Linked DNA regions of Callithrix jacchus. The protein of the gene in region 3 purifies or fractionates together with the protein of the main gene of each other region. This does not show direct contact. Links are inferred from orthologs where the notes say so. Each region holds a gene or a part of one and is shown on either strand. Other genes may lie near its edges.

Region 1 (4,448 bases), on a different chromosome or scaffold from region 3:
AATTTGCATTCCAGATAATGCACTACAACGTCCTTGCATGAAATGAAAATAACGTATATTCACTTGGCACAACTGGGAAAAAGGCAACTTTGACACACACACAAAAATACACTCTCAAAAGCCACTTGGTAATGGCGGAGACTTCCTCTGAATTAAGCAGTTAAGAATTAATTTCTCTCAGGAGAGCATGGTGACTCTATTCTGTATTACTTCCTTTCTCCAAAATCCTTTGCTCTTCTGTTCTATGCAACAATTAGAACTCCAATGCACAATATGCAACATAACAGGAATTACTGAAAAGAATCTCTAAGTACCAGCAACTGGTAGTACTTAAAACCCAGCAAACCTCTCAAATCGGAATAACTTGCTGACAAGTTAAGTGCCTCAAACATTTAAATGTCTGAGTTTAGGCTCCGCACAGGAGCTCACACCTGTAATTTCAGTACTTAGGGAGGCTGAGGCAGGCAGATCACTTGAGGTTAGGAGTTCGAGACCAGCGCGGCCAACATGGTGAAACCCCGTCTCCACCAAATACAAAAATTAGCCAGGTGTGGTGGTGAGAGCCTGTAATCCTAGCTACTTGGGAAGGTGAGGCACAAGAGTGCTTGAACCCAGGAGGTGGAGGCTGCAGTGAACCGAGATCCTCAGCACCACTCACTCCAGCCTGTGCAAGAGTGAGACTCGTCTCAGATAGATAAATAAATAAATACATACATACATACATACATACTAGGAGATAGCTGATCATAAGAATTAACTCTTTTAAATCTTGAGATTGGGAACATTTTGAACTTGGGAAGGAGCAAATAGAGATTTCTTTGTCAAAAACAACAACGAAGGCCAGTTATAATAGATGCAGAAAAAAGATCCCTGATTTTTAACTAAAAGCCTAACAAAGAATAAATTAGTACTACTACAACGCGCAGGCTTCAACTAATTCGATGGTCTAAATCAGTTCTAGCCTCTTACATTTTTCAGACTATTTTAACCTAATATAGACTTATAGTTGACCTTCACTTTTTAACATTAACACCCCCCACTAAAAGTCAAAAAGTCACATAAGCCCTGAGCTGACCCAATATTCCTTACTATTATAAAGACATACTGGAAGAAAGCATAAATAGGTACAAAAGCATAATCTTAAAAAACTAAAACACAAAACAACAAACAAACCACACTTGTAACCTAGTGGCAGGACTGAATTCTTAGGGATTAATTCAATCTTTTTTTTGAGACGGAGTCTCGCTCTGTCGCCAGGCTGAAGTGCAGTGGTGCGATCTGAGCTCACTGCAATCTCCGTCTCCCGGGTTGAAGCGATTTTTCTGCCTCAGCCTCGAGTAGCTGGGACTACAGGCGCGCGCCACCACACCCAGGTAATTTTTTTATTTTTAGTACAGGCGGGATTTCACCATGTTGGCCAGGATGGTCTGGATCTCTTGACAAAGTGCTGGGATTACAGGCGGGAGCCACCGCACCCGGCTGAATTCAATCTTTTGAGCCCCCCACCCCCTTCTCAGCGGGGGAACCTCAGCCTCCAATGGCTCTCTAGCAACCCTTCTGGCTGACTAGCGAACGCAGGGGAAAGCGCAAAAGTAAAGGCACCAAAGCAGGAAAGAGGATCTCTTCCCGAGAAAAAGGACGGAATCTTGAAATCAGAGAAAACTAACAGTGCGAAAGGGAAGAAACCTCGAAAAATTACGCCAGAGTGGGGACTACCAAGGAGGAAGGGGAAGTAGATTAGAAAAAAAAAAGAGGGGGGTGGGGGAAGGAAGGGGCAAATGACTTGCATTACACAAGCACTTCTTGTCCCTAGTGGAATGGACAGAAGTAGATAGAGAGGTAAGGAAATAACTGGAGAAGTACTGAGTGAAAGAGGGGTTAAGAAAGCCAGGGACTAATGCTGATTTCTCTCATGTGTCTGACATTTCTGAAAGTCAACAGCATCAAGAAGAGACACACCTCAAATGCACTTCAGTCCTCTGCAAACTGCACTTTCATAGCCTTTGAAGCCAGGCTTGAAAAACTTTCCAAACAAGCCATAACTCATATGTGGTTTACAATCACAGAGAGGGCGCGCTGCAAATGAAAATTACCAGCGCCCGCTCTCGCCGCAATGTTTCCTCGGTGCAGTCCAACCTGCTGCTGCTTAATTTTTCAAATAATTTTTTTTTAAGTCTCAGAATAAAGACATCTCCCCCGGGGAGATGAACGTTCTACCCCACCGTGGATTCCCGCACAAAATTAAGCCCAAAGACGCCAAGAGATGGTGACGTGGTTGTCATGCAGGTCGGAGGCGCATCAATCACCACAGCTGCAGCCCACACCAAGTCCCCCGCCGCCGGGATCGGGCGGACTGACTCAGTCGGGGTTTTGCCCTTCCGGGCTTCCCAGGCCCCTTTCGTGCAAACCCTTCCGACGAAGGCAGGGGACTTCACGAGGGAGCCCCGACTTCTACCCCCGGGCTCCCGGACACTGCACAGACAGCCGAGAGCCGGAGGAGGACGTTCCCCAGGAAGGAAGCGCCCCAAAAGGGGAAACGCAGAGTCCAGAGCCTTGGGCATTCCACTCCGCGTCCCGAGCTTCGCCGCCCCGACCCGACCCCAAGGGCCGGGGTCCCGGTTCCCCCAGGGCCCACTCCCGTCGCAGAGCGGAGAGGAAGAGACACAGGAGCGGCGCCGAGCGCAGCCGCCCGCACTCACCGTGGCGCAGCTAGTCCGCTCCGCGTCGGGCCTGACCCACCTCAACGCTGAGAGCGGCCGCCGACCCCGAGGCTGCTCCGCGAGGGCGGCGCTTGCTCCCGCCGCCGTCACGGTCACAGACACAGAAACAGACACAGACACAGCCTCAGCCACAGCCGCCGCCGCCGCCGCCGCCGCCGCCCGGTCGCCGAAGCAGCAGAGCCGCCTCGCTTCCGCTCGCCGTGGGTGTCCCGCGAGAACTTCTCCACGAGGCCCCGCCCCGCCCCGCCCCCGCGAGACTTCCCCCGGCGGAAAACGCCCAAAGCGCAAGCGCTCCTCCTGGGCCGGGCTCCGGCAGGTAGTGACTAGCTAGGCCCCAGGGCGCATGCGCCAGACCGCCCGCAGCAGGTGGCCTCGTCACGGCTCCGCCCCTGGGTCGCCGTAACCCTCTCGGTACCAGAGCGGGTAAATAACAGCTTAGTCCTGAAGGAATAAATTCTTACCCCGTCTAATCACTTTCTTTTCTCCTCTACCAAACCAAGGCAATTGGATATGGATGGGGGCTGGGGGGAGGAAGAGAGTTTCCAGCCTGAAGCACTCCAAACAGAAGACCAGGTCTTGAAATATTTGAGAATCCGTACAAACTCTGCAATGTTGAATGATTGGTGGGTTTGTTTACTCATTTATTTAATTATGTGCCTAATATAGGCTGAACACTGTGCTGGATATAGAACAGAAATCCTGGTCCTTAAGGAATTTACGGTCTAGGGAAGCAGAGAAAAATAAACAAATAATGCCATAAGTACTGTTATTTGGAGTTTGCTGAGAAAGCTAAAAAGATGGAAGAAGAATGGCTACTCTGCCCATTGCAAAAGAGCCTTTACAGAGGTGATGCGGCGATGTCTAAGCTGAGTCTTGGGGGATGAGTAGGAGTTTGCCAGGCAGAGAAGCCAGAGTAAGGGCATTTCAGGGAAAGGGAATGGCACGTAAGTACAGAGGCTAAGTACAGCGGAACGGAGGCGTGAAAGTCGTGTGCTGTGCAGTGCTAAGTAGTTCAATTCCTGTATGAGGCCGGTGAGTATGGGGGAGTGGCAGAAGATGAGGCTTCGGTAAATAATTCTTGTTTTTCAGTTATCAAAGCTCTTTCCAATTAAAGGATAGAACAGAACACACCTAGTGTTAATGTGTCTTCTGGAAGCCAAAAAAATAGCGTTGAGATGAGAATAACCAAGCATCTGATTGTACAGAGGAAACAAGCCCATTGAAACACAGAAAATGAGCCGGGCACGGTGGCTCAAGCCTGTAATCCCGGCACTTTGGGAGGCCGAGGCGGGTGGATCATGAGGTCAAGAGATCGAGACCATCCTGGTCAACATGGTGAAACCCTGTCTCTACTAAAAATACAAAAAATTAGCTGGGCATGGTGGTGCATGCCTGTAATCCCAGCTACTCAGGAGGCTGAGGCAGGAGAATTGCCTGAACCCAGGAGACAGAGGTTGCCTTGAGCCGAGATCGTGCCATTACACTCCAGCCTGGGTAACAAGAGCGAAACTCCGTCTCAAAAAAGAAAGAAAGAAACACAGAAAATGAAATGTTGAAATGTTCTTTCACCAAGTTTTTATTGAGCATCACCTGTATGCAAGGGGCTTTGCAGGATAAATGACCAACCAGATAAAGCCTCTGCTTTCAGTGCTTTGTAATCTAGTTTCCTAGTCTGTAAGACAAGCAGTTGACCCCAAGTGCCACTGAACTACACATAGGGATGGCTGA
Region 2 (3,650 bases), on a different chromosome or scaffold from region 3:
CCCTCTGCTTTTGCATATAATTCAAATTTTCGGCACTAAAAAGTTTTGGAAAAATCAGTCTTCCATTCAGTTTTGATGAGAGGTTTCTAAAACTTCTGTATCTCCCCATCTTGCCTCATGAGGCTTGATGAAGGTGAAATGAAATGAACATAATGAAATGAATGACTGCTGAAATGCTGCCTCTTATTATCTAGTCAGGTAGGGCACAAAGAAGGCAACACTGAGCTTGAGATCTCAAAATTCTGACTCACTATGTTTATCGTCAAATTTTTTGGGGGGGGACAGGGTCTGGCTCTGTTGCCCAGGCTGGAATGCAGTGGCATGATCTCAGCTCATTGCAGCCTCAACCTCCCAGGTTCAAGCAATCCTCCCACCTCAACCCCAGAGTAGCTTAGACTGCAGGTGTGCACCACTACACCAGACTACTTTTTGTATTTTTTGTAGAGACAGGGTTTTACCATGTTGCCCAGGCTGGTCTCAAACTCCTGGAGTCAAGTGATCCACCTGCCTCACCCTCTCAAAGTGATGAGATTAGAGGAGTGAGCCACCACGCCCAGCCTATCATCCATTTTTTATTGATGCTTTTAATCACTGTTTTCCTTCTCTCAACTAGATGATCCCTTTAAAGGCAGTAACCCTGTCTATCTTGTTCACTAGTGTCTCCAAAGCCTAACCCAATACCTGGGATAAGAGAATAATTCAAGTCTCTGTTCAGCAATGTTGAGCAAAAACTCAGAATGTTCTTTTTTTTTTGTTTTTTGAGATGCAGTTTCACTATTATTGCCCAGGCTGAGTGCAATGGCACGATCTTGGCTCACCACAACCTCCATCTCTCAAGTTCACGTGATTCTCCTGCCTTAGCCTCCCGAGTAGCTGGGATTACAGGCATGCGCCACCATGCCCGGCTAATTTTTTGTATTTTCAGTAGAGATGGAGTTTCACCATTTTGGTCAGGCTGGTTTCAAACTCCCAACCACAGGTGATTAGCCCACCTCAGCCTGGTAAAGTGCTGGGATTACAGGCATGAGCCACAGGCCTGGCCAACTCAGAATGTTCTATTCTGCATTCCTCCCCAGTACTGGAATTCAATCAATATCTGTGATATGGGCCAGGCACAGCGGCTCATGCCTATAATCCCAATACTTTGAGAGGCAAAGATGGGAGAATTGCTTGAGCTTTGGAGTTCAAGACTAACCTGGGTAACACAGTGAGACCGCATATCTAAAAAAAATAAAAAAATTAGCCGGGTATAAAATTAGCCGGGTATGGTGGCGCACACCTGTAGTCCCAGCTACTCAGGAGGCTGAGGTGAGAGGATGGTGTGAGCCCAGCAGTTAGACGCTGCAGTGAGCTATGATTGCACACTGTACTCCAGTCTAAGCAGCAGAGTGAGACCCTGTCTCAGGAAAAAACAAAACACCTGTGGTATGTTTACTTAACCTCCCTTAGGCCCCTCAGCTGAAAAATGGAAAATCATATTTATCTCAGCAAGTGTTCAGACATACTGTGGCTAAAGGACTTTATTTACCCAGTTATTCACTTTACTCATTCATTCATTCCACAAATATTTATAAATTGTAGTCTTACGAAAAGCATAAAATAATCATTCCCATAACATAGAACAGAAAAATAAAATGATGTGAACATGAGTTAAATGTAAATACTCATTCAACAAACATTTATGGAGTTTCTGTTGTATACCAGGCATTGTGCTAGATGCTGGAAACAACTGCAAAGGTAAATATTCCAGAATCATTGTTTTTGAAGTTTTCTGTCAAATGTATGACAAGAAAATGAAAGAGATCACATTATCAATGGGTAAGTGACATAGAAAAGTGTAATGGGAACACAGCACATTCCCATCAGGGACATTCTCCAACCCAAGTTAGTTTCAGGAAATAAATCAATTTACTTAAAGTCAGGAAACAACAAATCCTGGAGAGGATGTGGAGAAACAGGAATGCTTTTACACAGTTGGTGGGAGTCTAAATTAGTTCAACCATTGTTGAAGATGGTGTGGCAATTCCTCAAGGATCTAGAACTAGAAATACCATTTGACCCAGCAATCCCATTACTGGGTATACACCCAAAGGATTATACGTCATTCTACTATGAAGACACATACACACATATGTTTATTGCAGCACTATTTACAAAAGCAAAGACTTGAAACCAACCCAAATGCCCATCAATGATAGACTGAATAAAGAAAATGTGGCACATACACACCATGGAATACTATGCAGCCATAAAAAGAATGAGTTCATGTCCTTTGCAGGGTCATAAATGAAGCTGGAAACCATCATTCTTAGTGAACTAACACAGGAACAGAAAACCAACCACCACATGTTCTCAATCATAAGTGGGAGTTGAACAATGAGAACACATGGACACAGGGAGGAGAACATCACAAACTGTCAGGGGATGCGGGGGGAAGGAAAGGGAGAGCATCAGGACAAATATCTAACGCATAAGGGGCTTGAAACCTAGATGATGGGTTGATATGTGCAGCAAACCACCATGACACATGTATACCCATGTAACAAGCCTCCACTTTCTATACATGTATCCCAGAACTTAAAGTATAATAAACAAAAATAATTTTTTAAAAATCAGTTCATTTAACTTACCAGAGTTATCAATTTGAACTCTAAAATTAAAGCAACCACATTTGCCAAGTCAAGACAGGTGGATCACTTGAGCCCAAGGGTTCAAGACCAGCCTGGGCAACTTTGCAAAACCCCATCTCTACAAAAAAATACAAAAATTAGACGGGCATGGTGTTATGTGCCTGTACTCCCAGCTACTCAGGAAGCTGAAGTAGGAGGATCATTTGTGCCCAAGAGTTCAAGACCAGCCTGGGGAACACTGTAAAACATCATCTCTACCAAAAATACAAAAATTAGCCACGTATGGTGGCATGTGCCTAGAGTCCCAGCTACTCAGGAGGCTGATGTGGGAGGATCACTTGAGCCCAGGAAGGCCAAGGCTGTAGTGAGCCAAAATCACACCACTACACTCCAGCTTCAGCAACAGAGTGAGACCCTGTCTCAAAAAAAAAGCCACCACAAGGTGTTTCTTTTACTCACACTCATTTGCTGCAGTAAAGCCACAGATTCTTTCTAAAGACCCCAGTGTATGTTGGAAATCTTCCAGAGAAATTAGATCCTTTTGTTTCTTTGAGATTTTGCCACCAGTCAAAACCAAAAGAGCCAAATGGAGCTGTTGGCGCATCCACTGACTACTCATTGCCAACTCCCTTCCCTCAGAACACAATGCTCTTCTATTTCGAAGAAGCCCTCTCAGCAACTTGTTCCACGTCAATCAATGGCCGAATTTAAAAAAGAACGTCAGTTTCAAGTCTCTCAGGTCCAATTCCAAACATAAGACCAACTTCTCCTCCACTAAAAATAGGACATAACAACTCACATAAAAACAGTTTTAATAACTTACCTCAAATTCTTCCCAAAAGCCTTGCTTGACTTTATCTGTGGTCTCAGCTAATTTGCTTAGTTCTCGAACTCTGCTTTCTATTTCAGCAGCGTTTATACGAGTCGTGTTAAGGGGCTGATCAAGTACAGCGGTTGACGTAAAAAAAAGAAAATTTTACAGAAAATAGTGTTAATGCAAAAAAAAAACTTCTATGTTGA
Region 3 (3,363 bases):
GTCATGTTGGAAATGTATTCTCACGCGATATCCAGTATCTGGGATACTATAGATATATGGTGGTTGAAGGTACCAGTTATCTGTCAGCATACAATGCTGCATAACCACCAGAAAAACATAATGGCATACAACCAAAAGCACATTCATTTTGTTCACGAAGCTGTGGAATTCAGCTGACCTGAGCTGATCTCAGGTGATCTAGGCTGGTTTCACCCAAATGTCTCGGGCTCCTCTGGTTGTTGGTTGCTTCAGCTTGGACAGCTGGGGTGACCTAACTCTGCCCATCTCGTGTTTAATCTGTGGTCAGCTAATACAGGCATAGCCTCATGGCATAGTGGAAGTTAAGGAATGAGCAAAAACAATTGTGCAAGCCTCTTTCAAGCCCCTGTGTCAATATTCTGTTAGGCCAGAAGAAGCCACTTTGAGAGGTCAAAAGTCAGAGTAGGATAGCACTGCAAAATTCTTTAGAAAGGACATGGATACAGAGAGGAGTGAAGAGTGAGGGCTATCTGTGCATCCAGTTCACTGCATTAAAAATCTCAAGAAATCAATCATAAAGAACACCATCCAGGGTTCAGGCTCAGCATTGTTCATTTGTTAACTCAAGTGAATTATTTAATCATTCTAAAGCCTAATTTCCTTACTGGCCCTTCTCAAGCTTTAAAAGCCGTTGGCTTTATAAAATCGGGCTTTTAATGAATTTCATGCTATATACAGTCTATTGGAAATACTTCACAGGAAGTTGTCCATTGTACTATCCTTTAGTGAGCCAACATGGCTAGGCTGAATGGCCATAATTGATTATCTAATATTGACATATTCTGTAATTTTATTTAAATTGATAAAATTTTAGTCTGGACTTGGTATGAATTAATTAAGTACTGGAAGTTGAATTTTCAATTGGAATCTTTATTTTTTGCTCCCATCTGATGATTCTTTTGAAGCATACAGTGTGTCAGTATAATGTCAAATGCTGTGATATCTCTTACATGTGAGATGAGTTATAGGGCCATTGATGCCGTGCCTTAATAATTCATTGTTATGATGAATTAATTACTCTAAAATTGACTAGAGGAACTTTGTCAAATTCGCATAATGCACCTAAAAATGTGGGTTAATTTATAGCAGATGTTATGATTTGTTTTATATAAAGCATACAGATAATACAGAAATGAAATCTGCTTTAATTATATAGTATGTAATTATGTAATAGATAATGAAGTGCTGGATTAGTTAACTATAAGAATAAAAACTAAGTGAAAATGTTCCAAATGAAAAATATTTTATAAGTTTCACAAAAAGAAAGTAATATACACAAATGGTCTTTGAAGATGGTTTTCTATGCCTAAAATGACTTCTTATTCTAGTTACTTAGATTGCTTCAAAAATTGTACACCTATATTTCCAAAATAAGTTGATAAACCTATAATTTGTAACTTGCTTTGACATGTCGAATGTTCTGTTTCAGACATACCTAAATGACTTGCCATGTGATAAATCGTTCATAGCTCTGTGAAACATTTATTTTGGACTGATAATTTACTTGTAATATCAATCACTCTGACCTGTGTCATTTCAGCATCATCATGTAGACATATCCAAGAAACTTCACCAGAATCAAGCTGGCCTGGATTCAAAAGTACCAGTTGGTAGTCAGAATGATTTCATGGCTGTAGAGAACGAGAGGAGCTACTGCGGGGCCACAGCAGTAGCCAGTACTAATGTGACTACAGGTCAGTTCAACCACAGTAGTTTAACTGTCCACATGACAAAGGTGCAGTGGACAGATTCTTACTGCTATTTTGTTTGGAATATATGGCTCAGCCAAAGTGACTACCCTGCCCTGCAAATCACATTGAAATAAAGTTTTACATGAGGCATAATATTGAACACTCACAATAATAATAGTAATGTTTATTGTTTTTCGTTATTAGATTTTTCGCCTCATTTATGGTTTTCATGGCCAATGAAGTGTTTTAAGATTGCTTGTATTGTTGTGATAATAAAATTTTGATATTTTTTCTAGAACAATGAACAACAAGAATTACTTTCTTGAAAAGATGTTAAAATAATTGACACGTGTTAAATTTAAGAAAGTGTCAGATAAGTCATTGACTGCAAGCTTGAATTATTATCATTTATAGAGATTGTGATCTGATATTTTTCATCTCTACTGAGGGCAAAACAAAAGCAAATGGACTTGCGGAGGAGTTGATAGCATTCAATTAAGCTACCCAGACTAACTTCCATATGGCAGAAATTTGGGATGAGATAGCAAGGGAAATAAGAAGTTTGTTTCTTGCCAATATTTTAGACACACCAAACCCCCTCAATTTCTATTACACTTTATCTTTGAAACTTCACATTTAGTTCATGGGAAAATTGAAACTGTAATTATTCTTAAGCATACGGTTTGTTCCTTTCTCCTCCTTATTTGGTTTTGTAGCTAGCACGCTTTCTTCTCCAAGGACATGTAAAAGTCAAAATACTAGATATAAAGTCTCTGAAGTGTTCCTGCTCCAAACCCGGTCTGCACAATCTGGGTTCTTTCACGTAGTTAGCTTACAGGCTTCTGACACTCCTATAAATACGTCCCATAGATCTTTTCTTATTACCTTTTCATTGACTCTCTCCGAGTGAGAAAAATGAAATTCTGTAAAGGGCTTTGAAAACCATGCATATTGCAATTCCTCCAAATTTCTAATACTAATCAAGTGTGACTATAAAAGAAACAACCACTGCAGTGAAATCGCTGCAGCATGTAGAGTCTCAAGCCATTATTAATTCATTGGAAACTGTTTTTTTTTTCTTTTTCTTTAAGATTGTGGATTCTAAAAAGTACCAGATAACACAATTCCTGACATCAAAGTTTTTGTTTCAATCAGAGGGAAATGTTACCTAATCTTCTCTTGTATGTGAATCTTTCGGGCATGGTACAGCAGTAGTCCCAGCTTTGTGCCCTGAGTGAGTAGTACAGCGTATGTTACAGACCAGAGCAGCACATGCTTTGAACCATATTACATGGAAGTGATGATTTTAGAGACAAGGATGACCTGGAATTAAAGCAGTGGTTCCAGGCAAATGACACTCCTTAACTTCATTCAAGAGAGTAAAATGGAATCTCCTTTCCTAAATCAATTTGATTTTAACATCCATTTATTTAGAAATTACCCAGTATGAACATCTTGGCAATATTTTTTATTTGCTTTCCCATTTGTAAATGCAATAAATTACTGTCTTTCTTCATTATGGATTATAATTGTGTGATAATTCTATATATAAAAATGCAAAAGTGGAATAGAGCAAAAATATAATTTTTCAAAGTTTATTTTTATCTATATAATATAGTGTATGTTCTTCATT

Evidence for each region.
Region 1: the proteins of THEMIS (region 3) and GRB2 purify together in Homo sapiens (co-immunoprecipitation; 6 studies listed by BioGRID and IntAct, counting the BioPlex papers as one, with this or other methods). This does not show direct contact. The link is inferred for Callithrix jacchus from reciprocal best matches to the Homo sapiens genes THEMIS and GRB2.
Region 2: the proteins of THEMIS (region 3) and PTPN11 purify together in Homo sapiens (co-immunoprecipitation; 3 studies listed by BioGRID and IntAct, counting the BioPlex papers as one, with this or other methods). This does not show direct contact. The link is inferred for Callithrix jacchus from reciprocal best matches to the Homo sapiens genes THEMIS and PTPN11.

What each region holds. Positions count from the first base shown.
Region 1 is NC_133506.1:131,303,681-131,308,128, forward strand, and holds the start of GRB2 (growth factor receptor-bound protein 2), read right to left. Parts: upstream 2,914-4,448; 5' UTR 2,700-2,913; intron 1-2,699. UniProt on the Homo sapiens protein: Non-enzymatic adapter protein that plays a pivotal role in precisely regulated signaling cascades from cell surface receptors to cellular responses, including signaling transduction and gene expression.
Region 2 is NC_133510.1:115,408,170-115,411,819, reverse strand, and holds part of PTPN11 (tyrosine-protein phosphatase non-receptor type 11), read right to left. Parts: intron 3,568-3,650; coding exon 3,454-3,567; intron 1-3,453. UniProt on the Homo sapiens protein: Acts downstream of various receptor and cytoplasmic protein tyrosine kinases to participate in the signal transduction from the cell surface to the nucleus. Positively regulates MAPK signal transduction pathway. Dephosphorylates GAB1, ARHGAP35 and EGFR.
Region 3 is NC_133505.1:134,242,862-134,246,224, reverse strand, and holds part of THEMIS (protein THEMIS), read left to right. Parts: intron 1-1,579; coding exon 1,580-1,864; 3' UTR 1,865-3,363.